4 linked regions of the Lytechinus pictus genome follow. The protein of the gene in region 1 purifies or fractionates together with the protein of each later gene. This does not show direct contact. Links are inferred from orthologs where the notes say so. Each region holds a gene or a part of one and is shown in the gene's direction. Other genes may lie near its edges.

Region 1 (6,904 bases):
GGACATAAGAGTAACCAAGTCAGTGATACTTGGTTACTCTTATGTTCATGTTTTATGAACTAGATCAATACACTTACAGATATATGATGGTAATTCAAGAAATACCCCCAACATGGCCAAAGTCCATTGACCTTTGACCTTAATTGGTCATGTGACCTGAAACTCGCACAAGATATTCAGTGAATCACTGAACATCTTGTGCGAGTTTCAGGTCACATGACCAAGGTCAAAGGTCAATGGACTTTGGCCATGTTGGGGTATTTGTTGAATTACCACCATAACTCTTTGCTGTTTTGCTTCAAAAAGGGTATTTCATTTTTAAAAGGGCACATTTCATTTTGAAAAAGGGCATTTTCCATTAGTTTGAAAAAAGGGATTTTTTTCTACGGAGAATTTTTTGGGGGCACTTGTCCCCTGCCCCCTGGTTCCGCCGCCCCTGTTCAGATCTGAATTAAAATTCGCTCGCGCTGCGGGCTCTCATTTAGTTACACACCTTACAGCGCGTCCCAAAAAAATGTCCCTCTGATATGCGGCTAAATTACTTCAAAAAATAAAAATTATTCTCAGTGAAATGTATGAAACTAGGAAGCCCATATCATGTTCTAACTTCTATAAAAATTTCATTGGTCTCGCTTCAGTAATTTTGAATACACAGTCTATTATGTAACCATAGAGCTCTATGATGTAACAGTGGTGCATTTTAGTCCATTGCAAGTTTGCATGCCTGCAGCACTGCTGTGTGTTCTGCACATATCATATCAGCCCCCTTCGACCATTCTGACCAAGGAATTCCCTGATCTGACCAGGGAAATGTCCATCATCTAATCAGGCTCATCAAATCACAACCTTGAGCATGTTCAGAAGGGCAAAAACAATATTTGACAGTTCATTTCACGTTTGATAACAATTAAGAGATGCACAATGATTAATACAACGGGTCATGTCTGTTTCATGCCTATAATACTGCATTTTTGTTTTTATTACTTATTTTTACTTAAAGGGATGGTCCGGGCTGAAAATATTTATATCTTAATACATAGAGTAGAATTCACTGAGCAAAATGCCGAAAATTTCATCGAAAACGGATAACAAATAATAAAGTTATTGAAGTTTAAAGTTTAGCAATATTTTGTGAAAACAGTCGTCATGAATATTCATTAGGTGGGCTGATGATGTCACATCTCCACTTTCCGTTTTCTTATGTTATTACATAAAATCATAATTTTTTCATTATTTCATACTTGTGTGAATGATATGTCTCCCTTATAATGAAATAAGTTGCAGCAATAAATATATAATGCACTAAATCAGTTGTCAATCCAATTTTTCTAGTTCTTGGAGGAAAAAATTTGAATAAACCTAATTTCATATAATAAAATACAAAAGAACAAGTGGAGATGTGACATCATCAGCCCACCTAATGAATATTCATGACGACTGTTTTCACAAAATATTGCTAAACTTTAAAATTCAATAACTTTGTTATTTGTTATCCGATTTTGATGAAATTTTCGGCATTTTGCTCAATGAATTCTACTCTATTTATTAAGTTATTCATACTTTCAGCCCGGACCATCCCTTTAATAAGCTACTGTGGTCAATTTAATTCGATGTAACTTTTTAAAAGAAAAAAAAGTCAAATTGTTCTCTGGTATAGTTCCTTTTCGCAAAGGGTGATTAACTTGTGGATTCCCATTTATTTTTCAGCTTATATTACTCATCCATCATTCACATTTTCTTTCCAAGTTGGTGCACTGATTCCCCTTATCAATCATCAAACAAGCTTAATTTTTTTTTATGTTTCTTTTCTTCTGAACATACCAAAGTTTATGATTTAATGAGCCTGGATATGATTAGGGAAATGTCCCTGCTCAGATCCTGGATGTAAGAATGTGATGGGTTAATATGCCATAGACAATACAGAAATGCATCAATGCTGCAAACTTGGAATGGGCTAAAATGCACCACTGTTACGTATAACAGTATTCAAAACCGCTGAAGCGCAACCAATGAAATTTTCATAGAAGTTAGATCATGAAGTGAGCTCTACTCATGAACATTTTTTTGAGAATACTACCACATTTTAGAATTAATTCAGCCCTATGTCAGAGGGACATTTTTGGGGACGCGCTGTAGAAGTCCTAAAACAGTCAATTATTTATCAAATTTTTAGATTTGAAGAGAAAAAAGTCAGCTTGAGCTGCTCGCTCGCATTTTCATTGGTCAGAAAACTTTCCTCTTCATGAATTTCTAAAAAAAATCCTTAAAATTTATCTTTGTATATGTCATATAAACTGAATGCTCGCATTTCGGATACGTGTGCTGTTCATGATACAAACAGTGCTTGTAAAGGGTTACTCCAGGCTAAATTAATACAATTTGAACATTGAAAATTTGATTTAAATCGGAGAAGGAATAACAAAGTTATGACACTTTAAAAAATTGCATTATTTCAGTGAAACAGTAATTTATGCTTGACTTCATGAATATTCAATGAGTAAATTAATCACATCCCACTTGCCTTTTGTCTTTGTTATTTTTTCCTCCAAGAACTAAAATAATGGTTTGACAACTGCTTTAATGCATGAGATATTCCAGGCCTGAGACATTATTGCTGCTAGTTTACTTATTTTATTATAATCATTCACACATGCATGAAAAACTGATAAAATAATTATGATTTCATGTAATAACATAATAAGAAAAGGGAACTCATCAATCCACCCATGTTTTCACAAAATATAACAGTCACCTAAAATGTTCATTTATTTGGTCAGTAGGGCCTGTATGAAAAACATAAGCTTGCGCTTAATTGTTCATGAATGATATTAAAAATCAAAGATAGCCTATATAGAAACAACACTATGATTATGATAATGATAGAGGCAGTGGCGTACCTAGGATTTTCCACAGGGGAGGCAAAACCGTCCGCCAAAAAATTTGACAAGCAAAAAAAAAAAAAAAAAGGTCTTCAATCACAATTAAAGGATTTCCTACCAGAAAAAAAATTGACAAGCAAAAAAAAAAAAAAAAAGGTCTTCAAGCTCGTCAGCGAGGGGGGGGGGGGGCAATAAAGGTCTTCAAGCTCGTCAGGGGGGCAAAAAAGGTCTTTCAAGCTCGTCAGGGGGGGCAGGGATACGTCCTTTGCATGGGTTGTGGATCGTCAGGGGGGGGGGCAGACTGCTCCCCTGCCCCCTCCGTAGGTACGCTAGTGGATAGAGTAGACAATATATTGAAACTACTGAATATATTGAAACTCAAAACTACTAACATTTAAATAAAACATTTTATACCAAAGTTTAACATCCTGCTCTAGATATTACTTTCAATGTTATGAAAAACAGTGTCATTATCATCATCAGAGGCAGCATGCAACAGCAGTGCTAGGAATCAGCAGCACTGGCCACCACCGTCACCACACCATATCCATCACCCTCAACATCGTCACCCCCGTATTCATCATTATATCATAACCAGCATTATCCATATATCGGTACCTCTTCAGAAATCATGACCGGGATTGACATTATTATCCTGGTTCATCATCCCCATCATCATAATCATAATCATCATGCATCATCATCATCATCATCATCATCATCATCATCATCATCATCATCATCATCATCATCATCATCATCATCATCATCATCATCATCATCATCGTCATCATCATCATCACCATCATCATCATCTTCATCATCATCATCATCGTCATCATCATCATCATCGTCATCACCATCATCATCATCATCATCATCATCATCATTACCATCACCATCATCATCATCATCATCACCGGGCACCGGGCATCATCATCATTATCATCCCCTCCATCACATCACCCGTATCGATCCAACGTGTACGCGCGCTCGGCTATCGACCCAGCGCGCGCGCGCAGCGCAGCGGAAGTCAGTGTACGGTTTCCTTCGAACTTCCTGCATCCAAGTAAGCCAGGTAAACACTGAAATTAATCAGTATTTCTTTGATAAATATAAGATGATTATAGGTGCCACATGGAATTATAATTATTTATGTGCTTGCAGGTAATATGAGGATTTCGTGGAACAAATTTGCGCGCTAGATACTGTTGAATACGAACTTAATTTAGCCCGTGTTAATAACAGCGAAGAGAGGTATAACGCGGGCCGGCCAGGGCCGGTGAAGTTACGGGCTCGGCTGGCTGGGCCTGGGGCCCTGTAGCCAGGCGGCTTCCACTCACACAACATGCGAGGTTAGTATACTAACCTCGCACAACACATGTGATTTCATAGTGCATTTTGACGTTTTCATTCATCACACGAATGTGAGGGACTAAACTACGCCAAACCTTTCAATATTTGTCGGCGCTAGTGTAGTTTCGCACCTCCCCGTTTTAATTAATGGTTTTCAAACATGTACAATCTCACCCTAAATAATTTACAACCTAAAATACTTGCATCTGAGCCTCCAAAGTCCAGTAGAAGTTGAATATTTGCCGTTTTGACACTTTTTTACAAAGTTTTACACCTATTTCGGAATCACTCGGTCGCTTGATCAAGCTCAGCGCTGCACATAAGCAGTCGATACGCGTACAGTACGTACCACCTAGTGCAAGAAGAGCGAGTTTTTCTATGGTATCTTCAAAAAGATTTTTTCCCCTCTTTCAGCTTGCACCAAGTATTACGGTCAGTGGCGTACCTAGGATTTTCCACAGGGGGGGCAAAACCGTCCGCCAAAAAAATTGACAAGCAAAAAAAAAAAAAAAAAAAAAAAAAAAGGTCTTCGATCGCAAATAAAGGATTTCGTACCCCAAAAAATTTGACAAGCAAAAAAAAAAAAAAAGGTCTTCGATCACAAATAAAGGATTTCGTACCAGAAAAAAAATTGACAAGCAAAAAAAAAAAAAAAAAAAAAAAAAAAAAAAAAGAGGTCTTCAAGCTCGTCAGGGGGGCCAAAAAAGGTTTTTTCAAGTCCGTCAGGGGGGGGCAAAGATACGTTTTTGCATGGGTTGTGACTCGTCAGGGGGGGGCAGAGTGCCCCCCCTGCCCCCCCCCCGTAGGTACGCTAGTGATTACGGTAGTGGTTTTTCACATTTCTTATTTCATTCAAACAAGCAAACACACACGCACACCCCACACACACCTTCACACAACAAACATCAACCACTCTGCACAACCACTACCGTAATACTTGGTGCAAGCTGAAAGAGGGGAAAAAAATCTTTTTGAAGATACCATAGAAAAACTCGCTCTTCTTGCACTTCACTAGGCCTAGGTGGTACGTACTGTACGCGTACCGACTGCCTATGTGCAGCGCTGAGCTTCAAGCGACCGAGTGATTCCGAAATAGGTGTAAAACTTTGTAAAAAAAAGTGTCAAAGCGGCAAATATTTAACTTCTACTGGACTTTGGAGGCTCAGATGCAAGTATTTAGGTTGTGAATTATTTAGGGTGAGATTGTACATGTTTGAAAACCATTAAACGGGGAGGTGCGAAACTACACTAGCGCCTATTTGTCCACTATGTTAATCTTGATCGTATGATTTAAGTTTATTTGAAAAAGGAATTATAAATTATTTATTAAAGTGTTTTTGTCGCTTACCTCCAAATCTCAACCAGGATACTTCGTTCGATCCGTCCTTAGTCATCCTCATACTGCGGTGGAAATTACGCAAACAACAATCGAAATGCGAAATTTTCCTATCGAACATTCTCGATTCAAGTCGTCGGCGCATAATAGGAAATTGTACCAAAAATCAACAGGTTGCAATCTTTTCTGGGGTGCACTTGACCTTTAAGAGATTTTCCAATGAAAATATTACATGGAACTTGGAAATACAAATCATAATTTGGTTGAACAAAATGTTTTCTGTTAAAGTATAAAACAGAAGAGGAACATATCCTTCACGTATTTTTATATCCAAAATATGTTGCCTTAGTCTGGAATAATCACAATGACATAAAATGAAAATGGGTAAAGTACCTTCCTAATGATCATTGAGATTTCGCCTATGGAATCATTGTTTAATAATTTTCAAAGCTTTAAATAGATGAAAATGTTCATTGAGAAAATATACATATATATATATGAACAAAATGATAATGTCCCGATTGTTTCGCATTACGTGTGTTAGATTGCGGGCGTTTGTGTGTGTGTGTAGGAAGCAAGATGTTCGTGTTAATGTTTGCACAAAAAAGGAGAGGGAAAGGAAAAGGGGAGGGGGAAAGGTAGAGGAGAGAGAGGGAAAAGGAGACCATAAAATAGAAAGAAAACAAAGGAAAGGAAGAGGGGAAGGGAGAGGGAAAGAAAAATGGAAAGAGCGAGAAAAGAGTAGGGGAGGGAGAAAGGAAAGAAAAGAAGGGAAAGGAAAAAGCGAGAAAGGGAATGGGGGGGGGGCGGGAAAGGAAAGGAGAGACAATAAAAGACAGATCAGGGGAGGGGGAAAGGTAGAGGAGAGAGAGGGAAAAGGAGACCATAAAATAGAAAGAAAACAAAAGAAAGGAAGAGGGGAAGGGAGAGGGAAAGAAAAATGGAAAGAGCGAGAAAAGAGTAGGGGAGGGAGAAAGGAAAGAAAAGAAGAGAAAGGAAAAAGCGAGAAAGGGAATGGAGGGGGCGGGAAAGGGAAGGAGAGACAAGAAAAGACAGATCAGGGGAGGGGGGAAGGTAAAGGAGAGAGAGGGAAAAGGAGACCATAAAATAGAAAGAAAACAAAAGAAAGGAAGAGGGGAAGGGAGAGGGAAAGAAAAATGGAAAGAGCGAGAAAAGAGTAGGAGAGGGAGAAAGGAAAGAAAAGAAGGGAAAGGAAAAGCGAAAAAGGGAAGGGAGAGAAGAAAAGAAAAGAAGGGAGAACGAAAATGGGGAAAGGGAGAAGGAGAGGGGATGATGAAGGGGATAGGAAAATGTCAAGTTTGAAGATCTGAAT
Region 2 (7,603 bases), on another chromosome or scaffold:
TCATACGGATGCAAATATGATTACTGAACAAATGCAAAGCTTTTCACACAAATCACTGTATAGGGGAATTATGAAGTGGATAACACTTAATAAATGATGCGAGCTGATATTTTTATTATTATTTTGACCTAGGACCAGGACATTCGAGGCCTTTTGTCATTTTGTCATCATATGAAAATGATGACTATCTTCCTATTCCTCTTCCTAAGCACGATAAAATTTGTCGATATTTGATGCTTTCTGAAAGAGGGACAATTTAGTTATTAGCAATTCATTAAAAAATTATCATATCTATCAATCTAAAAAGCCTAATTAGTGCGTGAAATTTGTTGACATTGAGGCTTGAAAACTGAATATTTTAGGTACTTTTTTAATCATGAATAGGATAGGAATCATGGGTTTTGATATAATTTTAACAATTAATGTGAGCGCAAATCGCGAGCCGAAATCTTTGATAAATAACTGTCATAAAAAGGGGGTTTTAAGTAGTTTGTTATAGAATTAATATAGAGGTACATATAACCCATCAATCAAAATGCGAGCACACAGCGCTACGCTCATAGTGCTACGTTTTGACCAAAGTTTTTGACAATCAGACATCCGTAAAATGATATTTTGAGAACTTATGGAAGACACGACAATAGGTAGTCCTACTTGGCAAATCAAATCACGCGAGCGCACAGCGCAAGCTGAGAATGTTGATATTCACACTATAAAACGGACATTTTAAAAAGCACGTAAAAAAATCAATTTGTAAATCAAACAAAATAATGAAAGCTAGATGTCCGAGCTGAAATATGTTTTGCATATTGGCTTCAAAACTTGATATTTTAAGCTACATATTGAGCAAGATATATATCTCATCAAACAGGCAATGCGAGCGCGAAGCGCGAGCGAAAATTTAATGCAGTGACATGAAAGATATTTTTAAACATTATCCAAGTCTTCCCATCACCTTATTTTATTCACTCGTATTCCTCCTTTCTTTCCCCTTCTTTTTTTTCTTTCTTCCCCCCTTTTTGTCATTGTTTTTGCTCCGCCCATGGGGGGGGGGGGGGGGGGGGGGGTGGCCCCTCAGGTCCCCTTGGATCCGCCTATGCTGTATCACATAATTTCATACCGATATATGAACGACTTTACAGATAATATTTAATATTAGGAAGTGATTATTTTTATATTATGACAAAGGAGTAGATAAATTATCGTTTATAGGCAGATATTTTGAAAACGATATACAATTTTTTTGGCGAAGACTAGGCCTAAACCGCATATCATGGACTATTTTCGACTGAATTTCAATAACTGTTGAAAATAGACATTGGTAATCTTAAAACTAAATCATTGCGGTGTTTATTTTTGGAAATATCCTTTATTTTATCTTACTTCTGTTGTTCTGTACTGCCTGATATTTTTTCTGTTCCCATGATTAATTGGGCATCAATAAGTGTAAAGAAACATTTCGCCTTTATGATGGCGCTATATCGATATGATATAGCTTGCGGGATTAAATTAGCTTCATAAATAAGAGAAATATCTCTTGTCAATGATTAAAGCATGATACAAATGATTTTATCAAAACATGGGTGGTGGGCTATATGGAACGACTTGAGGAAGTATAAGGGGGCTGAACATGTATCGTATAAAATCTGAATTTGAAAATTGGTGGGCGGGGACGGAGGGGGGGGGGGGGGGTGGGGGAGAGGTGTTAATCCCCCGGCTCCAACCCCCGCTTTCGTGGCCCCTGCATAACTCGCCTATCCATTGATTATTAACAATTTTTAGTTGTCCCTAAATATCATAAGGTTTTTTTCTATTTTATTTTATTCTATTACTCTGTAAAATTTGTTATTAGAGATCAAGATATACTTCTGCTGCTACTGGCTTCTCCCGTGGCTACTATTACAACTACAGTAGTCTTACTACTACTACTACTATACCTACTACTACTACTACTACTACTACTACTACTACTACTACTACTACTACTACTACTACTACTACTACTACTACTACTACTACTACTACTACTTCTACCAATACTATACTACCACTACTACCACCACTACTAGCACTATACCACCACCACCACCACCACCACTACTACTACTACCACCACCACCACCACCACCACCACCACCACCACCACCACCACCACCACCACCACCACCACCACTACTACTACTACTACTACTACTACTACTACTACTACTACTACTACTACTACTACTACTACTACTACTACTACTACTACTACTACTACTATACTACTACTACTACTTCTACTACTACTACTATACTACTACTACTAATACTACTACTTCTTCTACTACTACTACTACTACTACTACTACTACTACTACTACTACTACTACTACTACTACTACTACTACTACTACTACTACTACTACTACTACTACTACCAGTGGCGGACCGTGACCCGGAGGAGACAAGGCATTGGGGGGGGGGGGCACTGAATTGTTTGTGAACAATGCTGTGCCCCTCCAATGCTTTGTCTCCTCCGGGTCACGGTCCGCCACTGACTACTACTACTGCTGTTGCTACTATTACTCCTTCTAATACTCCTCCCACTGTACTTCTAATATAAGGAAAGTGAGGTAAGGTGAGACATTGGTTTTTTTTTATATTTGGCACATAGGTGATAGGCCTGCAGTTATGGCTTATATTCATAGTTTCAAATTCCGAAATCAACTTCAAATTCAAATTTCAAATTCATTTATTTTTACATTTGTAAAGAAAAATAATTTAGGCCCACACTCATCGAGAATCAAATCATATATACAGAAATGGCATTTTTTGTTTACAAGGTATTATGTGCTTGTCCTCTATGTCTGTGGTCTCATCTCGATTTCAATTATCACAATTGTTTTCTCTTTTATTATTTTTGTTCACCGAAACGATATGCTTAAAGGGAAATCCAGCTTTGGCCATAAAATGTTGTGTTGGAAAGGAAAAAAATAAATTAAACAGAATGGCGAAAGTTTGAAAGAAATCGGACAAGCAATAAGAAAATTATAGCTGCTTTAAAATTGAGATCACTAATAGTATGTAGATTTCAAATTGGCAACTGGGTAAGTAAATTATGACAAGGGGCAAGGACAACTTTCCCATAAGCCATGTACTTTATTATCAGGGATTTGTGGTTTTCTTCTACGTACCCATTCCCCTGGGGCAGTAATCTAATTATAATCCAGGTAGTATATTGTTTTATGTCCTCATGAAAGAAAAATATAATTTGAAATAAAACTTTTGGGGAAAATGACATTTTAGCCATAATATGTATTGGAGTACATGGAAGAGTAGTCCTTGCCTTACATCACTATGACATCCCATATGCGGCCAATTTGAAGTCTCCATGGGTATAGTGATTACCAATATTTACAACTTTTAAAAATTCATAACTTTCTTGTTGTTTGTCCAATATTGTTCAAACTTTCACCTATCAACTTGTCTGATTTTTCTTTTTCTTATAAAAACAAGTTTTTATTTGGGTTGGATTCCCCTTTAACTTCAGGATCATTTTGAATGGTATAATTGAATTATCAAAGATAAAATGTAAGAAGAAAAAAAAAAAAAAAAAAAAGAGACATTAAACCTTTGACCAGTAAGTTTTGAAAATATGAAAATTCTCAATTATTTCACCACCAGGGTATCTTAGTTTGCTTCAGAAGTGATTTTTGTTGTTTAATGATCAATTAATATTAAAAGATTCTTTACTAAAAACCAATGAAATATTATGAAACGCACAGAGTCAACCCTAAAAAACGAATTAGAAAGTAAAAAAGGGGCCTAAGCTTTCGATCCTAGCAGAATCTTCGTCGGAGGCAAAATGACAAACATATAAAGTGGAACAACCATAATATAGACCACAAACAAGCTACAGCAACACTAGAAACAAGGAGACAAAAGGGGCATTAGTGAGTAGAGAAGACCAATCAGGTTAGTGAAGGGGATGAAAGAAAAGGAGTAGGCAGACACAAAGGGAAGTTAGTGTAAGTAAGGCCAGTAAAAGACCTCAAGCCAAGAGGGATTAAGATAATGATAAAATGATAATAATAAAAAACAAATGGCAAAACCCTCATTTGACTTTATAAATTGACAGTTTGAGAGAGAGAGAGAGGGGCCTTAGGACACGCCTGAGTGTTTTCTGTAACGATTTTTTATTTTCAAAATAAAGTCACTTTGAAGCATGATAATTACCCTTTATTTTGATACTTATTCGTCACTGTGTTTGAAGAGCATAAGTGAATATTGTAAATGACTGTAAAAAATATATATATGAAGCAACCGATTGTTGTATTTGTCCAGTTTCTCGCCCCCAAAATATGATCGACCTCTACCCCAGTCATCGGGTAATTGATGACTACTAGTATATTATTAGGTAATTTGATTGTACATGAAATGCAATAAAATTCAGCTTTTCTTTTTTCCTTTTGGTAAAATTTTCTTTCAGCTACACGAACTAAAAGAAAATCAACATATCAGCGAAAATACAAAACATACAAAAATGCTCATGTACTAATTTTTTTACCCCTATTCCCCATTTTTTTTTCTCGAACTAGGCTGTTTTTACGATACCATATCGGGGTGTGTACTATTTTAATTTTGGGGTCGAGTAAATTTACCCTAATAAAAAGGGTATTTCTGGCGGTCATTCTTCTCAGTTTTTATCATTTTTATCTATATTCATCATGCTTGGTGAGGACTTTGGAAAGGCTGAAATAGATGCCATTGAATCGGCTTCTAAACGTGTTGAAAACATGTTAAAGGTGAGACACGAAAACTTTGTATCAGCCATAATCGGCACACAGGTATCACAGGCGCACGCGATTCTTGTGTGCACTGGTCGCATAGTCTTCTGACACATTTTCGTGATAGCATAGTGCTAAATGCACATGAGCTTAGTCGCTGGATATTTTGCATTGGTTGTGCCACGTTGTAAACAAGGGTAGCAGTTATGGCGTTGGTCTGAAAAGTAGGATTATCCTTTATAATATATACAATTTTACGATGATTTCTCCACATATGGCAATTAAAAAACTGGGATTTTCCAGGCCAGGGCACCCACGGCTACATCTCAGCTGCCGACTACAGAATAATTGAAGGCACGGCGCATTATTTCAACAAATAACGTTAATTTATGAAAAATTAATACGAGGACTTACAGAATGAAGTCCTCCTACGAAACTTACAAAACGATGTGAAGTCAATTCCTCATAATTTGATGAATATCCCTCAAAATGTGTCATTTAACTCAAGCGTTGATTTTTCTTCTCGTTGACAAAATACGAAAGCCACCTTTCTAGCTCTCAAATTTTTCGTCTAATGAGCGAGAGAGGGCGCGCGATTTATCTTCATATCAAAGACACTACAATTGAAAGACTAGACACAGAAATTATCTTACACGTAAATCGATGCAAAGCATTACGCGAAGTCGGCAAAGTTTCCAATCTTTTTACTGTAAAGACTTTGGTGGAACGTTAATTGACAAACGAACGGTAGCACTTGCGGGGCTTTGTTCAAGGTACATAGAATTTTCTACATTTTTTGTTTAATTTGTCATCGTTTTGAATATTTTCCAAAAAGTATTATCGTCAGCAAAAATAATAAAAAAGTATGTTTTTTAAGTTATTGCATTTATTGGGGTCTCTATTTTATCAAACAATTATTGGAATTGCGCATACAATAAATCATGAATCTAGTTTAAAAAATACCACCAAGCTGAATTAAGGTTGCGAACTGTATTAGCGCCACCAACGACCTTCCTTTTATTTCCGTGGAAGAGACGTGCGAAGCCACTTTCCAGGCGGAGGTAAGCGATTTTGCTCTTTTTTTTTTTAAAATTAAAAAATATGTTAAAAATTGATAAAGGAACGCTTTCTACCAGAAAAAGCCCTGGTGAGTAGCGGAATGGTTTCGGCTAATATCATTCACGTTATGAAGCGATGTTAACGACAACTCTAAAATCCACTACAAAAACACGTTGGTTGTGCGAGGTTCGTAAAGCATATATACTAACCTCGCAATAGTGTGAGTGGGCCAGGGCTCTTTTTTAATTTCAAAATCCAGGCCTGAGCCAAGGTAGCCTGGGGTAGTCTTGGGTAGCCAGGAGGCTTCTTGAGAGTAAAAATCATTTACTAACGTATGCTTACTCTCAATGAAGCCAGGGACTCCTTCCTATTCATCTGCGTGTACCGCCAAAAAATCTGAAACTTTCGCCCCCAAGATTTCTACTTTCCTTCTAAAACATCTAGCCATAAATCATGTACATGGGATAAAACTTCATTTCCGACATTTCTACGCTCTCGGTTTTATTTTTAAACAAGAATTCATGAAAAAATGAATAAAATATTGTGAAAAGACGGAAGAGACTTGCCCGATGTTTACACCGCCATCTTGTTTCTTATTGTACTTCCCCAACGTTACGCGACGCTAGCGTCCGTAACTTTGGAGACAGTGTTTCATCTTTGTTTTTCCCTCAGTGTTGCCATCCAGCACGAATCACAGATCAGTGAGTCTGACTTAGCCAGGCGGCTTCTTGAGAGTAAAAATCATTTACTAACGTAGGCTTACTCTCAATGAAGCCAGGGAGTCCTTCCTATTCACCTACACGAAGGACCCCAAAACCTGAAACTTTCACCCCCGAGATTTCTACTTTCCTTCTAAAAGATCTAGCTCTAAATCATGTACATGGGATAAAACTTCATTTCCGACATTTCTACGCTCTCGTTGTTATTTTTAAACAAGAATTCATAAAAAAAATGAGAAAAATATCGTGAAAAGACGGAAGAGACTTGCCCGATGTTTACGCCGCCATCTTGTTTCTTATTGTACTTCCCCAACGTTACGGACGCGAGCGTCGCGTAACGTTGCAATTGACAAATCAGGGGGAAATTGAATCAATACGAAATTTGCAAAAGGCCAGTTGACTTACATAAGATAATCCGTCGGTCATGAGAGCCAATCGGACTAATGTGTAAAAGTCAGGACAGCTTAAATTTGACCGAACTCGCGATCGTTACTTCGGGTCATCGCAGTTCTAGTTTCCAACAATCCCAATTCCTAGACTCTTAGCAGGTCTCTTGATTGCTAATAACCTCTGTGAAATTACATGTTTCAAAGTGAAAACACGCAGTTTACGTCTGGTCGGTTAGTCTACTAACTATTGCTCAGCTATACAGTCGACCTCCCAGACATAACGGCGTCTATTACATAAAACTCCCAGGCATGCAGCCAAGTGAAAGGCTTGAATTCCTTCTCTGTTCTGAGATTAGCCTTGATTTCCCCATTATTTGTCAATGAAAGGTCGCTTTAAAGGGGAGGTTCACCCAACAAAAAGTTTATTGTGAATATAACAGAAAGAAGTAATGAAAAATATTGGTGAAGGTTTGGGGAAAATCAATCAAAGATTTAAAAATTTATTAGAATTTTTTATTTGTGATATCATATGTGAGCAGATTCCCATGTATCGTGAATTGAAAAATGTCATTTTCTCAGAAAAATGAAATGGGTTTTAATGTACATACATGTACCTTCAGTCTATCAGCAGACAAATTATTTCACACCTGCTCCGGACTGAAGAAAG
Region 3 (7,867 bases), on another chromosome or scaffold:
AAGAATGCTTTATAAACAGACCCCGATGGATGCAATTTATGGTGTTAATGGCAGCCCATAGTTAGAGAAAATGATACTGATTTTTATAAATTTCTTTTCATTGTGCAGCTTGACCTTCCATACATCAGGCGGAGTTACAAGAAGCTATATCAGCAGACCCTGATGGAAGCAATTGAACAGAAGTGCAAAGCCTCCTTCAAGATGGCCCTGGTCCAGATGGTCCAGGTCCATGGAGCATTCCAAAAACAAGACCAAGTAAGCTCTATTCTCTCTACCAGTATAAGAAGTGATTTTCGACATATATATGCCCAAACTCCATGGTATATTTTAACACCTAAAAGTGTGGGTCTCTCATAACACTGACTGGTGTTCTTATAAACACTTTTGACCTGATGCAGTATGTGGCCTCATTTATTTCAAGAAAAAACAATATTTACTAGACTTCATTAATTTAAATGTCCTTTTTTTTTAATTAAAGATAACAAGTGTTGTAACCCCAGCAATGCTACATTACTTTATTCTTATTCTGTTTAATGCAGAAATGTGATTATAGAACTTGATCCAAAGCTATTTGAAATTTAAATCATTTTAGACTAAAGAAGAGGAGCCAGGAGGATCTGACTCACAAGAAGCTGAAAAGCAGGCTGGTGGACCTCCTAAACCTTCCCAGCAGAGGCCCTTGAAGCACCCTACACCTAACACCGGTGCCAAGGTACCTGCCAGTAACCCCCTGGTGAAGAGTACCCTAAAGAGCAATGACGCCAGAAAGGGTACTCCAGGATCTCCAAACAGATCAGCAGGAGCAAAGTCTAAACAGGTAATTAATTAGTCTATTAAAAAGGTATTTTTTCTAAACCTGTAGTGAATAAAACTTTTTACTTTCCTGCAAATAGACAGGTGGATGTGAAAAAATACTAATTAATCTTCTTTCATGAAAATATCAAATTGTAATTCTATTATTCATACTCCTTAAATACCATTCCATAATAATTATTGTGAAGGTTACTACATGATTGGTATATGAAAGCTTTTTATTTCATTTAAATTGATGATTTTCTGTATCAGATTATTACAAAAATTAACCTTGTGAGCTTAATATTGAAGCTGTCTAGTTCCATCTCTTTTAAATCATAATCATGATAAACATAAAATATTCCCTCTTTTTCTTTAGACTACCAACTCTCCTGGAAATTCTGGAAAGTCCAGACAAGCTCCTGGAACCAAGACTGGAGTAGGGGCGTCGGCCATCAGCAGGAAAACCACCACACCCCCACGAAAGGCGACTCCACCCAAACCAGCCCAACCCTCAAAAGAAACCTCAAAAGCACAACCACCGACCAAGAAGAAGGTGGAGGAGAAATCAACTACTGAAAAGGAAGATCAAGCCAAGATGGATGAAGAGAAGGAAGAGAAGAAGATGGAGGAAAAGAAAATGGAGAAGGATAAGGAGGCCCAAGGAGAGGCATCTGCAGAGAAAGAGACTCCTGAGAATGAAGAGGGTGAGAAGGATGAAGATGAAAGTGATAACAAAGATGGGATGGAGAAAGAGGAAAAAACGGAGGAGAAGTCCGAAGCAGAGATGAAGTCTCTGAGTGGTACAGAACCAACATCGGAGGACATGTCAGCAGAGAGTGAAGTGAAAGAAGAGGTGAAGGAGGAAGAAGGTAAAGTGGAAGAATATGGAAAGGAGATTGAGATGAAACCCAACGAGGATCAAGAGCAAGGAACTTTATCATGATGAGCTGCATAAAGAATTGGAAATTATTTATTAAAAAAAACTATGGAAAGCCATCACAGCCATAATTCACCATCTAGAATATATGTGTTGCTGAGTGACGTAACTTTCAGAGAGGTGTATTGCTCCTGAAATGACAAACTATGTAACTCAAAATTGAAATATTCAAGAAAGTTACAAAGCATTGATGCCATAACACCAGAAATAACGAGTTGTTTCTTTGGGGTGATGTTGTAGCTTCATTTTGTAAGATAGAGAGAGAGACCTTAGACAGTATATATCTTTTGGTGTTCAGTTGGTCATCTGTTTCTTCACAATAAATAAGTGATTTTGAGATAAGAGGTCTATTAACCCAAGCAATACTATGCCTTATCAATTCAACCAATCAGCATGCTTTGGGTTTTTTTTTTTTTTTTTACAAAGTGCCATTACATCTGCCTTTGATTGACAAAATATTACCTATCTAGCCTTTCTTAGTTCGGATTGATATTTGAATATCATAATACAGTATAAAAACCTCAAACAATTGCTGATTCTTGGACAAGAATCTGTGTTCAGGTTAACAATATCCTTGTATGTTTAACCTAAATGATAGATATGATTATCCATATCCTCCTGTTTTGAGTAATTGTGTTGTAAAGATGTATACAATGCACAGATATTAATCCGTCAGATATATATCTTACAAGTGATTCTAGTTATTATGTTGTGATTTTACTTATTCACTCAAAGAAAATATGTTTATATCTTTCTCTTACTCTTACTCTCTCTCTTTCCCTCCTTCATTCATTATGGGTAGTGCAAATAGATACCTTTCTGAATTTTGTTAGATGCATATATTTTTTAATTTTTCACATATTCATCTTGACCATCTCCATAGAGTTATGATGTTTATATATATTGCTTTCTGTTCTATGAATGCATATTTGTTGTTATTTTGTGCATTATGACAAATTAATTTTCTAAAGACAATATATCCATTATTGGATTTAGTAAAAAAATAACAGATCTTGAAAATAATAACAGAGGGATTCCAAAATTAATTTTCTTGTAGAGGCATGTCTCAATTTAAAAATAAAAATGCCTCGCCTGGATCCAAGCAGCAGCTTGTCATTGTTCAAAACTCACCTACACCCGACATCTGGATTTATTTTTAATACATGAAATTTAGAGTGTAGACTTTCAACCTGTCTTCATCATTGGATATCAATAAAAGAGATTTAAAGCCTTTAGGCCTATATATTCAGAATCTTTTTTTTTTATGTCACAAATAGATACATTTTAAAGATAGTATTTGATTTGGGATCTTGAATAATACAACTTGTAATCCGTATGTAATTCTTGATAAAGTTAAGCTTTATCTAGAAATTCTGTATGATTGTCATACAAGTCGTCAATATGATTCAAGTGTCCTTAACTCATGAAATACAAAGTATTTTTATGATCTGCCAGAAATGTGATTTTTATTTGTAAAAACTGTTGATATGGAGTATACACTGTCATGTATCACTATGTTAAACTGTGATGCAAATTTATATTTTGTACATGAAAATTTACACATGCACCAATTTGAAATTGATGATATATTTTTATTGCCTTATACACTCATCATGATCATGGCCATTTTTCAAATTATTTCAAATCAAATCTAATTTGATAATGTATGTTATGCTTTGATCACAATTTTGTAATGTTGTATCATACTACATGAACTTTGAATTTTAACTTATTGTACTTTGTAAATAAACAACATGAATAAAAAAAATGTTAGTGTTTCATTGATGATGAGCTAGTTGCATGACAACTAAAACAGCAAATATTTATATGAAAAGTGTGAAAGAGTCAGAGAGAGAGAGAGAGAGGGGGGGGGGGAGAGAAACAACATGTGGACTATCTACCAAGTACAGTATATAAGTACATAAATATGTATGTATATGTACATGTATACTTTTTTTTAGAATGTACATGTATACTTGGTAGATAGTCCACATGTTTGATCAATATCAATAAAAATATGGTAGAAACTTTCATGCTTATATATTCTTTTATTACTTTGTTTTATTCTATAAATTAGAGAAGGGGGGGATAGGTAGTGAGGTTTATAGAGGAAGGGTGCAGATGAATGCATAGAGAAAAATCTAGAAAGACAGAAGGACATCGACAGGGGGGGGGGGCTACAGCTAGAGAAGAAAACTAGAGGGAAATGGCTAATTGAGAAAGAGACGGACACTAACAGAGAGAGACGGGTCTATAAGGCAGCATGTATAATAGGCCTGTACGAGTCAAGGTGGTAAAAAGGGTCATTTAAAATATGCTTATTCTCAGTAATGAATTATGGCAGGGCCCTGGGAATGATTTTTTTACTAGGGGTGTCGATGTAAATTTGAAAAAAAAGTTATATAACAAAACGAAGGTCATTTTGTCGCACAGAAATTTGACAAGGAAAAAAATAAAAACAAAAAGGGTTTTCACTACAAATTAAATGAAAAACATAAATTATTCCTTCTTTTTCTTTAGACTACCAATTCTCCTGGAAAGATCATCTAGGTCCAGAGAATTTGAAAAGCAATTAAAAAAAAGAAAAAATAAAGGCTTCTCGACAACATGAAGGTCATTTTGTCCAAGAGAAATTTGACAAGCAAAAAAAAAAAAAAAAGGGGGCCGGGGGCTCACTACTAATTATTTTTCCACACCTACCAGAATTCCTGGGGAGTGTTTCATCAACATTTTCATCCGACAAGTTGTCAGATCTGACATCTTTCTCTGATGTTGATTGGCTGAGAGGTACTGTTACTATGGTAACTGTCGGATAAAATGGGACTTGTCGGATAAAACGTCCGACAAGTACTTTCATGAAACGCCCTCCCGGGGGTGCTTCCTACATGTATGGAGAATAAAACACCCAGCACCCCTTACGAAAATCTTGGGGGTGCTTCACCCCCGCACCCCCGCTTCCCAGGGCCATGAATTATGGGCACACTATACCACAGGGTATCCTAATTTGTAGATAAATCCCGAATAAATATACTAGGTCTGAACCCGGGGGCATGAAAGGATCAGACAGACCACTTGACCTCGACTCACAGTAATCAGTAGTGTCTCCCTCTTTTGGGCAAAGCTTTATAATTATAGTGCTCCCCTCGCATAAAATGTCTTCCGGGATTCTGCTTGCATTTGGGAGTGAGAAGCAGACGCGAAAATCAGTCGTTGAAAACATCATTAATTCTTCGTCTTACCTCTAACTTGTTAAATCTAAAAGAAGATGTCTTCTTTAAAAGAATTTGCTGTAAGTTGACCTTTTGATGAAGTAAAAAGTATAATATTTGTCTTGCATTTCTAGGTTCGAGTTCCGAACAGTGAAGTCTGTCAGTGTGACGTTTTTTTGTTGTTTGTAATCAATATGATTGAAATGAATAAGGTACCGTCGTATCTAATGAATGAAACAGTGACAGTGAGTTTGGTGATCCAGTCAGTGGACTGTATCATGGTAACTAATAGCATAAGACTATAGGCCTAACTAATTACTAATCGAGTCAGAATTAGAATGCCCAAACACTCCAAACTTAGTTAACAACAATTTGGGAGTAATTTAATTTTGGCTTAATTGTTTAGGGAACCTCTTGTCCATTTGTACGCAAGCACTTGTGAAGACAGTTGTGTACCATACCACTATTCACTAACAAGTATTGCGAGGTTCCATGCACTACGATTCGTGTCTACGCAGTGGATTTTTTAGTTGTCGGTTAACATTGCTTCATAACAGTTTAACACAAATAATGTGAGCCGAAACTCATTCCGTTGGCGTTACTCACCAGGGCTTTTTCTGGTGAAAAGTGTTCCATTTTCAATTTTAAAATAAAAAAGAGCAAAATTGCTTACCTCGGCCTGGAAAGTGGCTTCGCGTGTCTCTTCGACGGAAATAAAAGGAAGGTCGTTGGTGGCGCTAGTACAATTCACAACCTTAATTCAGCTTGGCGGCATTTTTTAGACTAGATTCTTGATTCATTGTATATGCGCAATTCCAATGATTGTTTGATAAAATAGAGACACCAATATTCAATAAATGCAATAACTTATAAAACATACTTTTTATATTATTTTGCTGACGATAATACTTTTTGGAAAATATTCAAAGCGACAATTAAACAAAAAATATAGAAAATTCTATGTACCTTGAATGAAGCCCCGCAAGTGCTACCATTCGTTTGTCATTAACGTTCTACCAAAGTCTTTACAGTAAAAAGATTGGACACTTTGCCGACTTACTTTGTGTAACGCTTTGCATCGATTTACGTGTAAAATAGTTTTTGTGCTTAGTCTTTCCCTTGTAGTGTCTTTGATATGAAGATAAATCGTGCGACCTCTTTAGCTCATTAGACGCAAATTTGGGAAATCGCAAGCTCGCTCCGTATTTTGTCAACGAGAAGAAAATTATACTCTTAAATGACGCTATTTGAGGGATATTCATCATATTAGGGGGAATTGACTTTACATCGTTTGGTAAGTTTCGTAGGAGGACTTGATTCTGTAAATCCTCTTATGAAATTTGCGGGAGTTTGTTGCAATTTTGCATGCGCCGTGCCTTCAATTTTCCTGTACACGGCGGCAGTAATGCACCCATGGGTGGTTGTGTACAAGTGAATAATAATGTTCTTAATCGATCGCTAGAGGGTATTCATTTGTCTCGCAATCTACTATGGTCAACAAATTTGTGATCACTCTCGCAAAAAGTGTTCACTAGCTTTCTAGGAAATTTGTGATCACTCTCGCAAAAAGTGTTCACTAGCTTACAAGTTCACGAGCTTTCGAGTGCCGCTGCAACTCTTTATCAAGTGAAGAAAATTATCTTACTAACCTTCCCAAAATGTGGCCAAGTTAATGTGCAGTTTATGCAGTGGGCACGTCATGGTCTAGTGGTTCTGACTCTCACCTTTCAAACAGAAGTTTGTGGGTTCGAATCGTAGCCATGACGTGTTTTCCTTCAGCAAGAAATTTATCCACACTGTGCTGCACACGGCCCAGGTGAGGTTAATGGGTACCGGCAAGAAGTAATTCCTCAAAAAGCTGTGCGCACCAGAATCAGTAGACTAGCTTAGCCGGGGTAATATAGGAGTGCCTTGAGCACCTAGCAAGGTGGATATGTGCGCTATACAAATCCTATATTATTATGTCTAAAATAAGGATACAAGATTCTGCTTCCTTATTTTGTAGCTTGGTACAAGAGTCTATTATACCCCCAAACTGGCCAACTTGATCTATAAACTTCTCTGAGATAATAAAACATTTCTGAAAGAGAAAAAAATTACTCAGAAGGTCAAAAAACAAAAATTCCTTTCTAATTTCACCAGGCTTGTTGCACACGTGTTGTCTGTAATATGGTGGATGGCTGTTGATAATGACAATAAATTGAGGGCAGTATTGCAGAAATTTATTTAAAGATGTTAAAGAAAATTACAATGTTTCAACTTACCCCGCGTTCCAACTAACCCCGGTCTCCCCTACTGTCCATAAGGTACACTCTTGCTTGGGTCAGGAAAAGGTGACGTCACTATAAAAATTAAGATTCAATGCATTGCATGCTCTTAGTAAATGCAGACGCGCAGGGCTAACCGGATAAATGCACATTACCATTAATCGATATTCTCCCCAATCATTTAACACAGGGTTTACCCTCCAAAAATAAAAAGTTATATTGTACAACTTTTTGAAATGAGATCACGTGGCACCAATCTAGCCAATCACAGCTCGTATTTTACTACCATTATTTATCTATATAATGCAGTAGCAGCCAAATAGCTAATGTTCAGAGCTTAAACACTGGTGTCTTCACTCTCGTGCCTTAGAAGTTTTAGTATTCAGGGCCAGCTCATCTCTATCATCTTAAGACTACTGGCCTTTGGAGAGTAAAAGAAAAAATTCAAATACAACCTTACTTTCCATTTAGCCTGGTAGATGTTCTCGTCAAGAAGATATCAGTCAGATCGCTATAAACATGCCTGGAAAAGTTATAGTTCTGAGATTGAGATAAAGTGTGTGCAGGTGACCCACTACCATGAATGTTTATATACCTATGTCCTTAAAGGGGCTTTCACAATCGCTCTTGCGATCGTTTGCGGTCATTTGGTCACAATA
Region 4 (7,805 bases), on another chromosome or scaffold:
CCCTATTAATAATAAAAAAAAGAGCTATAGATCTAGTAGATTCTATGCATGATAACATTTAACCTGGGTCTGGAAACAGGATGGGTGAGGTGGCACCACAGAACACCCCCCCCCCCCCGGCCCCGCCTTCAAAACAGAGTTAACTTACATGTACACTCACTTACAAGTTACAGTTAGAGAAATTATAGTTTATACAAATCAACAAGTCTAATTAATTTTTTTAGAATATTGCATGATCATAAAGCCATAATAATCAAATAGGGACTTCCTTCATTTATTTATTTTAAGTGCTGATTTAATTATACATAAAAAATGAAACATTCATGATGAGACTAATAGTTGGTACTCGCGTACCGTGCATTGTCAATTGGAGTCGTTAACTACACAAAATCCATAGCGAGCAACACGGCAGCCAACGCGAAATCTGTTCGCGCCCTCCGACGGGGGGCGAAATTTTCATAATTTGGTCGATACAGGCCCTTTTTCATGCAGAACGAGCAATCAGTGAGCATTGGTGAGTACGATTGATTTTGGTTTCAAAAAACCAAAAAACATTTCTGAATTCTTTCTAATACAGTCTTTTAATTGCCAAATGTTGCCAGATATGGATAAGTGTACAAATTACACAAACTTAGTGAGAAAAGTGAAGAAATTTTGACTTACCTTGTCGGGTTGAGTCGCTCGCGAGGGGTTGGATCAATGTAAACATGGAAAACTGCATATCGCACGAAAGAGAAAATAGTTTAGGTTAATGATATGCCGAGATTTTGGAAAACGACCCAATCACTTTTAAATGAGAATGGTATCAATTCGCACATGTCGAATCACCGATAGCTAGAGAAGCACCGCGGCTGCAGCAAAATCCTCCGCACACTACGTACAAAATATAGTACGAGCGCGAGAGCGCCATCTTGTGGTGAATGACGATGCCTATTTACAACCAACTGCGGTTTTCCACCGATCTCCGCACCTCAGAGGAAGGGAATCTACAAGTACAACTTACCATCAAAGGAGTACAGACAAACACCCCCCCCCCCCCCAACACACAAACACTCAACTCGCGTAATGATGTGCTGAATCACCTGCATGATTTACCCGTCAATTAAGCTCATATGTAATCACAACACCTCGAACATGAAAACGTGAAATTCAAATGCTACATTAGTGCCTAAAAATCGCACACGCCGAGATCTTCGCCTACACGTGATCGATTATTTGAAGTAATTTTTATGTTTTGGGCAAATTTTAAGATTTTAACAGTGAAAGGTTAAGGTAAAAGAGATAATTTCAAGTTCTCACCCAATCTCTATTCTTGATTTTCCCTCTTTCTTTTAGTTCTATTCACAATGGGCCGGCTAAAAAGTGTGCCGAATACAGCGTATTTCGTCGGGGCCGGAGTAGAGTCAGCCAACAATAAGCTAGCCAACAAGTACAGCAAGCCAGCCAACAGTTCCAGCCAACAATATCGCGATGTAAGATAGATCAGATACAGGATTTTGCGCACGAAGAGAAGCGTGCATTCTTGTACAAATCAAACAAACGGGGTCAGGGTGGGGTTTCCCTTCTTTCAATTTGTAAAGAAAAACAACGGGCTAGTGCTTTAATTTTAGTAGCCCACACCCCTATATACTCTATGTGTTTTCGTATATTGAGGAGTAAATTTCAACTAAAGTCCTCTTTATAAACTACAATTGGAAGATTGCTCCTGAAATATATTTTGGGTGTGTGTAGGGGGGTTTCCCTTCTTTCAATTTGTAAAGAAAAACAATGGGCTAGTGCTTTAGTTTTAGTAGCCCACACCCCTATATACTCTATGTTTTTTCGTGTATTGAGGAGTAAATTTCAACCAAACGTCCTCTTTATAAAACACAATTCGAAGATTGCTCCTGAAATATATTTTTGGTGTGTGGAGGGGGGTTTCCCTTCTTTCAATTTGTAAAGAAAAACAAGGGGCTAGTGCCTTCGTTTTAGTAGCCCACGCTCATATACATTCCTATATATTCCACGTTTTTATATATATTGAGGAATAAATTTGAACTAAAAGTCCTCTTTATAAAATACAATTGGAAGATTGCTCCTGAAATTTATTTTGGGTGTGTGTAGGGGGGTTTCCCTTCTTTCAATTTGTGAAGAAACACAACGGGCTAGTGCTTTAATTTTAGTAGCCCACACCCCTATATATTCCACGTTTTTATATATATTGAGGAGTAAATTTGAACTAAAAGTCCTCTTTATAAAATACAATTGGAAGATTGCTCCTGAAATATATTTTGGGTGTGTAGAGGGGGGTTTCCCTTCTTTCAATTTGTAAAGAAAAACAAGGGGCTAGTGCCTTCGTTTTAGTAGCCCACGCTCATATACATTCCTATATATTCCACGTTTTTATATATATTGAGGAATAAATTTCAACTAAAAGTCCTCTTTATTAAATACAATTGGAAGATTGCTCCTGAAATATATTTTGGGTGTGTGTAGGGGGGTTTCCCTTATTTCAATTTGTAAAGAAAAACAACGGGCTAGTGCTTTAGTTTTAGTAGCCCACACCCCTATATACTCTATGTTTTTTCGTATATTGAGGAGTAAATTTCAACAAAAAGTCCTCTTTATAAATACAATTGGAAGATTGCTCCTGAAATATATTTTGGGTGTGTAGAGGGGGGTTTCCCTTCTTTCAATTTGTAAAGAAAAACAACGGGCTAGTGCTTTAGTTTTAGTAGCCCTTACCCCTATATACTCTATGTTTTTATGTATATTGAGGAGTAATTTTCAACAAAAAGTCCTCTTTATAAAATACAATTGAAAGATTGCTCCTGAAATATATTTTGGGTGTGTGTAGGGGGGTTTCCCTTCTTTCAATTTGGCTACTAAAACTAAAACACTAGCCTGTTGTTTTTCTTTACAAATTGAAAGAAGGGAAACCCCCCTACACACACCCAAAATATGTTTCAGGAGCAATCTTCCAATTGTATTTTATAAAGAGGACTTTTAGTTGAAATTTACTCCTCAATATACGAAAACACATAGAGTATATAGGGGTGTGGGCTACTAAAACTAAAGCACTAGCCCGTTGTTTTTCTTTACAAATTGAAAGAAGGGAAACCCCCCTACACACACCCAAAATATATTTCAGGAGCAATCTTCCAATTGTATTTTATAAAGAGGACTTTTAGTTGAAATTTACTCCTCAATATACGAAAACACATAGAGTATATAGGGGTGTGGGCTACTAAAACTAAAACACTAGCCCGTTGTTTTTCTTTACAAATTGAAAGAAGGGAAACCCCCCTACACACACCCAAAATATATTTCAGGAGCAATCTTCCAATTGTATTTTATAAAGAGGACTTTTAGTTGAAATTTACTCCTCAATATACGAAAACACATAGAGTATATAGGGGTGTGGGCTACTAAAACTAAAACACTAGCCTGTTGTTTTTCTTTACAAATTGAAAGAAGGGAAACCCCCCTACACACACCCAAAATATATTTCAGGAGCAATCTTCCAATTGTATTTTATAAAGAGGACTTTTAGTTGAAATTTACTCCTCAATATACGAAAACACATAGAGTATATAGGAGTGTGGGCTACTAAAACTAAAACACTAGCCTGTTGTTTTTCTTTACAAATTGAAAGAAGGGAAACCCCCCTACACACACCCAAAATATGTTTCAGGAGCAATCTTCCAATTGTATTTTATAAAGAGGACTTTTAGTTGAAATTTACTCCTCAATATACGAAAACACATAGAGTATATAGGGGTGTGGGCTACTAAAACTAAAGCACTAGCCCGTTGTTTTTCTTTACAAATTGAAAGAAGGGAAACCCCCCTACACACACCCAAAATATATTTCAGGAGCAATCTTCCAATTGTATTTTATAAAGAGGACTTTTAGTTGAAATTTACTCCTCAATATACGAAAACACATAGAGTATATAGGGGTGTGGGCTACTAAAACTAAAGCACTAGCCCGTTGTTTTTCTTTACAAATTGAAAGAAGGGAAACCCCCCTACACACACCCAAAATATATTTCAGGAGCAATCTTCCAATTGTATTTTATAAAGAGGACTTTTAGTTGAAATTTACTCCTCAATATACGAAAACACATAGAGTATATAGGGGTGTGGGCTACTAAAACTAAAACACTAGCCTGTTGTTTTTCTTTACAAATTGAAAGAAGGGAAACCCCCCTACACACACCCAAAATATATTTCAGGAGCAATCTTCCAATTGTATTTTATAAAGAGGACTTTTAGTTGAAATTTACTCCTCAATATACGAAAACACATAGAGTATATAGGGGTGTGGGCTACTAAAACTAAAACACTAGCCCGTTGATTTTTGGCTCGAATGAATATCTATGGCCTGCCACTAGTGATTAGGTCCGTGTAGCCCTGACCCCGTTTGTTTGATTTGTACAAGAATGCACGCCTCTCTTCGTGCGCAAAATCCTGTATCTGATCTATCTTATATCGCGATATTGTTGGCTGGAACTGTTGGCTGGCTTGCTGTTGGCTGGCTTATTGTTGGCTCACTTGACATAGGCTTCGTCGGGACAACAAAGGCCAAAGGGAAGTCAATAATAATTAGTAGTCTAGCTATCTATACTGTTTCCCTTTTTGTAAGAAATAAAATGCAAATACTAAAGGAGTCAAATGGAAAATTATATCAAATACTAAGATTCTATCGAATTTGAATTACGAGTAGATCTAGAGTACTGTATTTTTTATATTTAGTTTAAATATATATTTTTTTATATCTGATCAGCATAATTAAAAAAAGGTCTAACAATTTAGTGTTTGCGTGATAAAGACTACCGGTACATGTAACATACATACTTGTCCGGCCCTAAAAAGGGGGTAAGGAGGAAGATGGCAGAACAAATTGTCAACAAATTGTCGAAAGATAATTTCAACGCAGACGAATGTAAGTATAACGTATTAATCGGTAAATTAGGTTACCTTTTCGCTCGGATGATCTTGGTTTGGTACTCAAATAAAAAGAATGAATGAGTGACTCCACCTCAAACTCGGTCTAGCACAGAGGAGACGGCATTACAGTTTCTGTCGTGTGCAATTTTTAATGAATGCAAGTGAATAGGCGATATCATGTTTCCATGACGTATGCATTATAATACTACATGAGCTAAATCGCCGGATCCGTGAGCTGAGTTGCACCGATCTGTATAGTTCAGTCAGCAAAATACCGCGATTGGCACATCAAGCTAACTTGAAGAGTATGCCACTCTAGGCGACACCGCAATACTTACCCGTGTTAATAAAGTGGGACTCCGCTCACGCGCGTTTGGGCCTCCCTAGCTTAGAACTAAGCACTAATATCACCTTAAATTAAAAACTAAATCTACAAGGTAGGCCTATGTATAATCTATTTAGTAATTTGATAATGTTTAAACGGTACTCACCAGTTCTTTTGATGTATTTTCTCCAGAATTCCCACGGATTTGTCCCAAATCTTGCGACAAACCACGTCGCGGTAGACAGCTGTACATTTTTTTTTATTTATAAATAAAGCGCCCCTTACGATAGTTGTTAACAACGCGGCCAAATCGTTAGGTTTTTTGCACTGTGTCCAAGGCTTTTTTATTTTGTTTGATTTTTTATTTTTTAATAAATATTTTGTTCAATAGCGATTTTTACGTCAAATATTAAATTTATATCACAAAATATTTTTTAATTGTAGAAATATACATAATATTATGCAATAATTTATTCTATATATATTTTATAATAAAATTTATAATTGTTGCGGTCTTTAAAAAAGGATAGTCGATTGATCAGGTGATGACCACACGTATCACTAACCCAGAGAGCTCCCGCCCGCGCAGCGGGCGGGAGCCCAGAAGCTTACCGTGTATTTTACCATTGCCACCGGACTAGGGTGATTTATGGTCTAAATATTTCTCCAAATGAATTGTGAAAACGGAAAGTATACAATTACCACGATTATATGGATGAAGGTCTAACGAGTGGCAGATTCCTGACATCTGGGCACAGTCTGGAACCTCAAAAAAACGAAAAGTTCTCTCCTTCTACCCAGTCTCGATCGGCCATTTTGTTACGATTTTTAACAAAATGGCCGATCGAGACGGGGTAGAAGGAGAGAACTTTTCGTTTTTTTGAGGTTCCAGACTGTGCCCAGATGTCAGGAATCTGCCACTCGTTGGACCTTCATCCATATAATCGTGGTAATTGTATACTTTCCGTTTTCACAATTCATTTGGAGAAATATTTAGACCATAAATCACCCTAGTCCGGTGGCAATGGTAAAATACACGGTAAGCTTCTGGGCTCCCGCCCGCTGCACGGGCGGGAGCTCTCTGGGTTAACGTATCACGTGATCTGAAAATCAGCTTCATACCGCTTTGATCGCACTCGACGGTGACCGGACTGACTGCCAAAAAAAGATCGAAAAATGACTCAAATGTAAGTTTCCCTTTATTTTATTAAATTCAAATTAGGAATAGGAATATATTCAATGGGCAATCTTTTAATAAATGATAAACAAACGAGGACAAAACTCATATTTTGGGAGTAATATCATACTTGGGTGCAGGAAACAGTACGGTTAGAAGTTCTAACCTGTTTTTAACGCATTGTCGCCTATGAGGTCCATACATGCTAATGTTTGGACCTCATTGGTACTAGGAGTGGAGTATGCTACGTTTGGAGTGGCTCGAAGTATTATTAATTGATTTTTAATTTATTTGTGAAGAAGTAGAGTAAAGTGCCCTAATATCGGACACCCAGTCTGGCTGGTCCCAGTTAACATAACATGGACCAGGTTAAGCACCTGGCCTGGCCCTGGGGCCCGTTTCTCAACACCGTCATAAGTCTAAGTCTAACTTCTTGACTAAATCGAAGATAGTGAGCTACTTGTCCGCTAACCGTTTCACGAAGCCCTCTTTGCCAAGATCGGGGACAACAACCTCACTAAATATTTATGACACCTCCGAACCTGTCATAACTTATTTCGTAATGACATAGTGACATCACGTGGGTAGACTATGACAGGCAAAAGTGCCTCGAAATTTGAAAATTATAATCTTACGTAATCATTCATAGAAGTTGAAATTACATTGCAAAACAGGTGAGATACATGTAGATCATTCAAGACAATAATAATTGTAATGCACAGAAAGTTTAAAAACTGTTGGTAAAACGCAACAAAACCATTCATTTTGAAAAAGTAAAATAATTGAATCGATAAAGATTCTACCATGTCAGGTCATCCATAACTGGACTCGTATTCGTTGTTTTCAGACCCTTATCAACATTTTGATAAATTCTATCTCTAATTTATGCAAAGAATTTGTCAAATCGTGTGTTTCGGTATATAAAATTATAAAAATTTATATGTTAAACTATATTTTGATGATGTTTGGAACCATAAATAAACGTATAATTATTATTATTTTACAAAGAAAACAATTGTTGTTTACTTTCGTAAGCTATCAAAATTTAGTATCCCGGGGATACCCATCTCAATGTCCACATGTGATTTTTTAGTCATTAAATGAATTATTCATAATTTCATTTTCTCAGCAATTGAATGCTCCAGTCTTCATGGTTTAAGTATGCATGGTACATATTTTGCCTCTGCTATCATTTTGATTAGATGTATTTCCAAATTAATCACAATAATTGCAGTTTTATCGTATTTTTGCTTTAAAAAATAATGCTATTTTATGACTAAGGCTACGTCTCGTCTGCTCTTTCTACCGATATTATCGATATCAAGGGATACTAGTTAGGAAGCCCTTCGTGAAACGGTAAAAAATTGTAAGA

The links.
Region 2: the proteins of exocyst complex component 1-like (region 1) and exocyst complex component 3-like purify together in Homo sapiens (affinity purification with mass spectrometry; 5 studies listed by BioGRID and IntAct, counting the BioPlex papers as one, with this or other methods). This does not show direct contact. The link is inferred for Lytechinus pictus from reciprocal best matches to the Homo sapiens genes EXOC1 and EXOC3.
Region 3: the proteins of exocyst complex component 1-like (region 1) and exocyst complex component 5-like purify together in Homo sapiens (affinity purification with mass spectrometry; 4 studies listed by BioGRID and IntAct, counting the BioPlex papers as one, with this or other methods). This does not show direct contact. The link is inferred for Lytechinus pictus from reciprocal best matches to the Homo sapiens genes EXOC1 and EXOC5.
Region 4: the proteins of exocyst complex component 1-like (region 1) and exocyst complex component 8-like purify together in Homo sapiens (affinity purification with mass spectrometry; 3 studies listed by BioGRID and IntAct, counting the BioPlex papers as one, with this or other methods). This does not show direct contact. The link is inferred for Lytechinus pictus from reciprocal best matches to the Homo sapiens genes EXOC1 and EXOC8.

What each region holds. Positions count from the first base shown.
Region 1 is NC_087249.1:53,894,420-53,901,323, forward strand, and holds the start of exocyst complex component 1-like, read left to right. Parts: upstream 1-3,904; 5' UTR 3,905-3,957; intron 3,958-6,904.
Region 2 is NC_087245.1:22,445,533-22,453,135, forward strand, and holds the start of exocyst complex component 3-like, read left to right. Parts: upstream 1-4,579; 5' UTR 4,580-4,709; coding exon 4,710-4,787; intron 4,788-7,603. UniProt on the Homo sapiens protein: Component of the exocyst complex involved in the docking of exocytic vesicles with fusion sites on the plasma membrane.
Region 3 is NC_087251.1:13,168,593-13,176,459, forward strand, and holds the start of exocyst complex component 5-like, read left to right. Parts: upstream 1-4,865; 5' UTR 4,866-4,997; coding exon 4,998-5,021; intron 5,022-7,867. Other genes in the region: neurofilament medium polypeptide-like, read left to right, coding at 109-255, 593-817, 1,172-1,738. UniProt on the Homo sapiens protein: Component of the exocyst complex involved in the docking of exocytic vesicles with fusion sites on the plasma membrane.
Region 4 is NC_087258.1:23,503,500-23,511,304, reverse strand, and holds the start of exocyst complex component 8-like, read left to right. Parts: upstream 1-4,805; 5' UTR 4,806-4,871; coding exon 4,872-4,926; intron 4,927-7,805. UniProt on the Homo sapiens protein: Component of the exocyst complex involved in the docking of exocytic vesicles with fusion sites on the plasma membrane.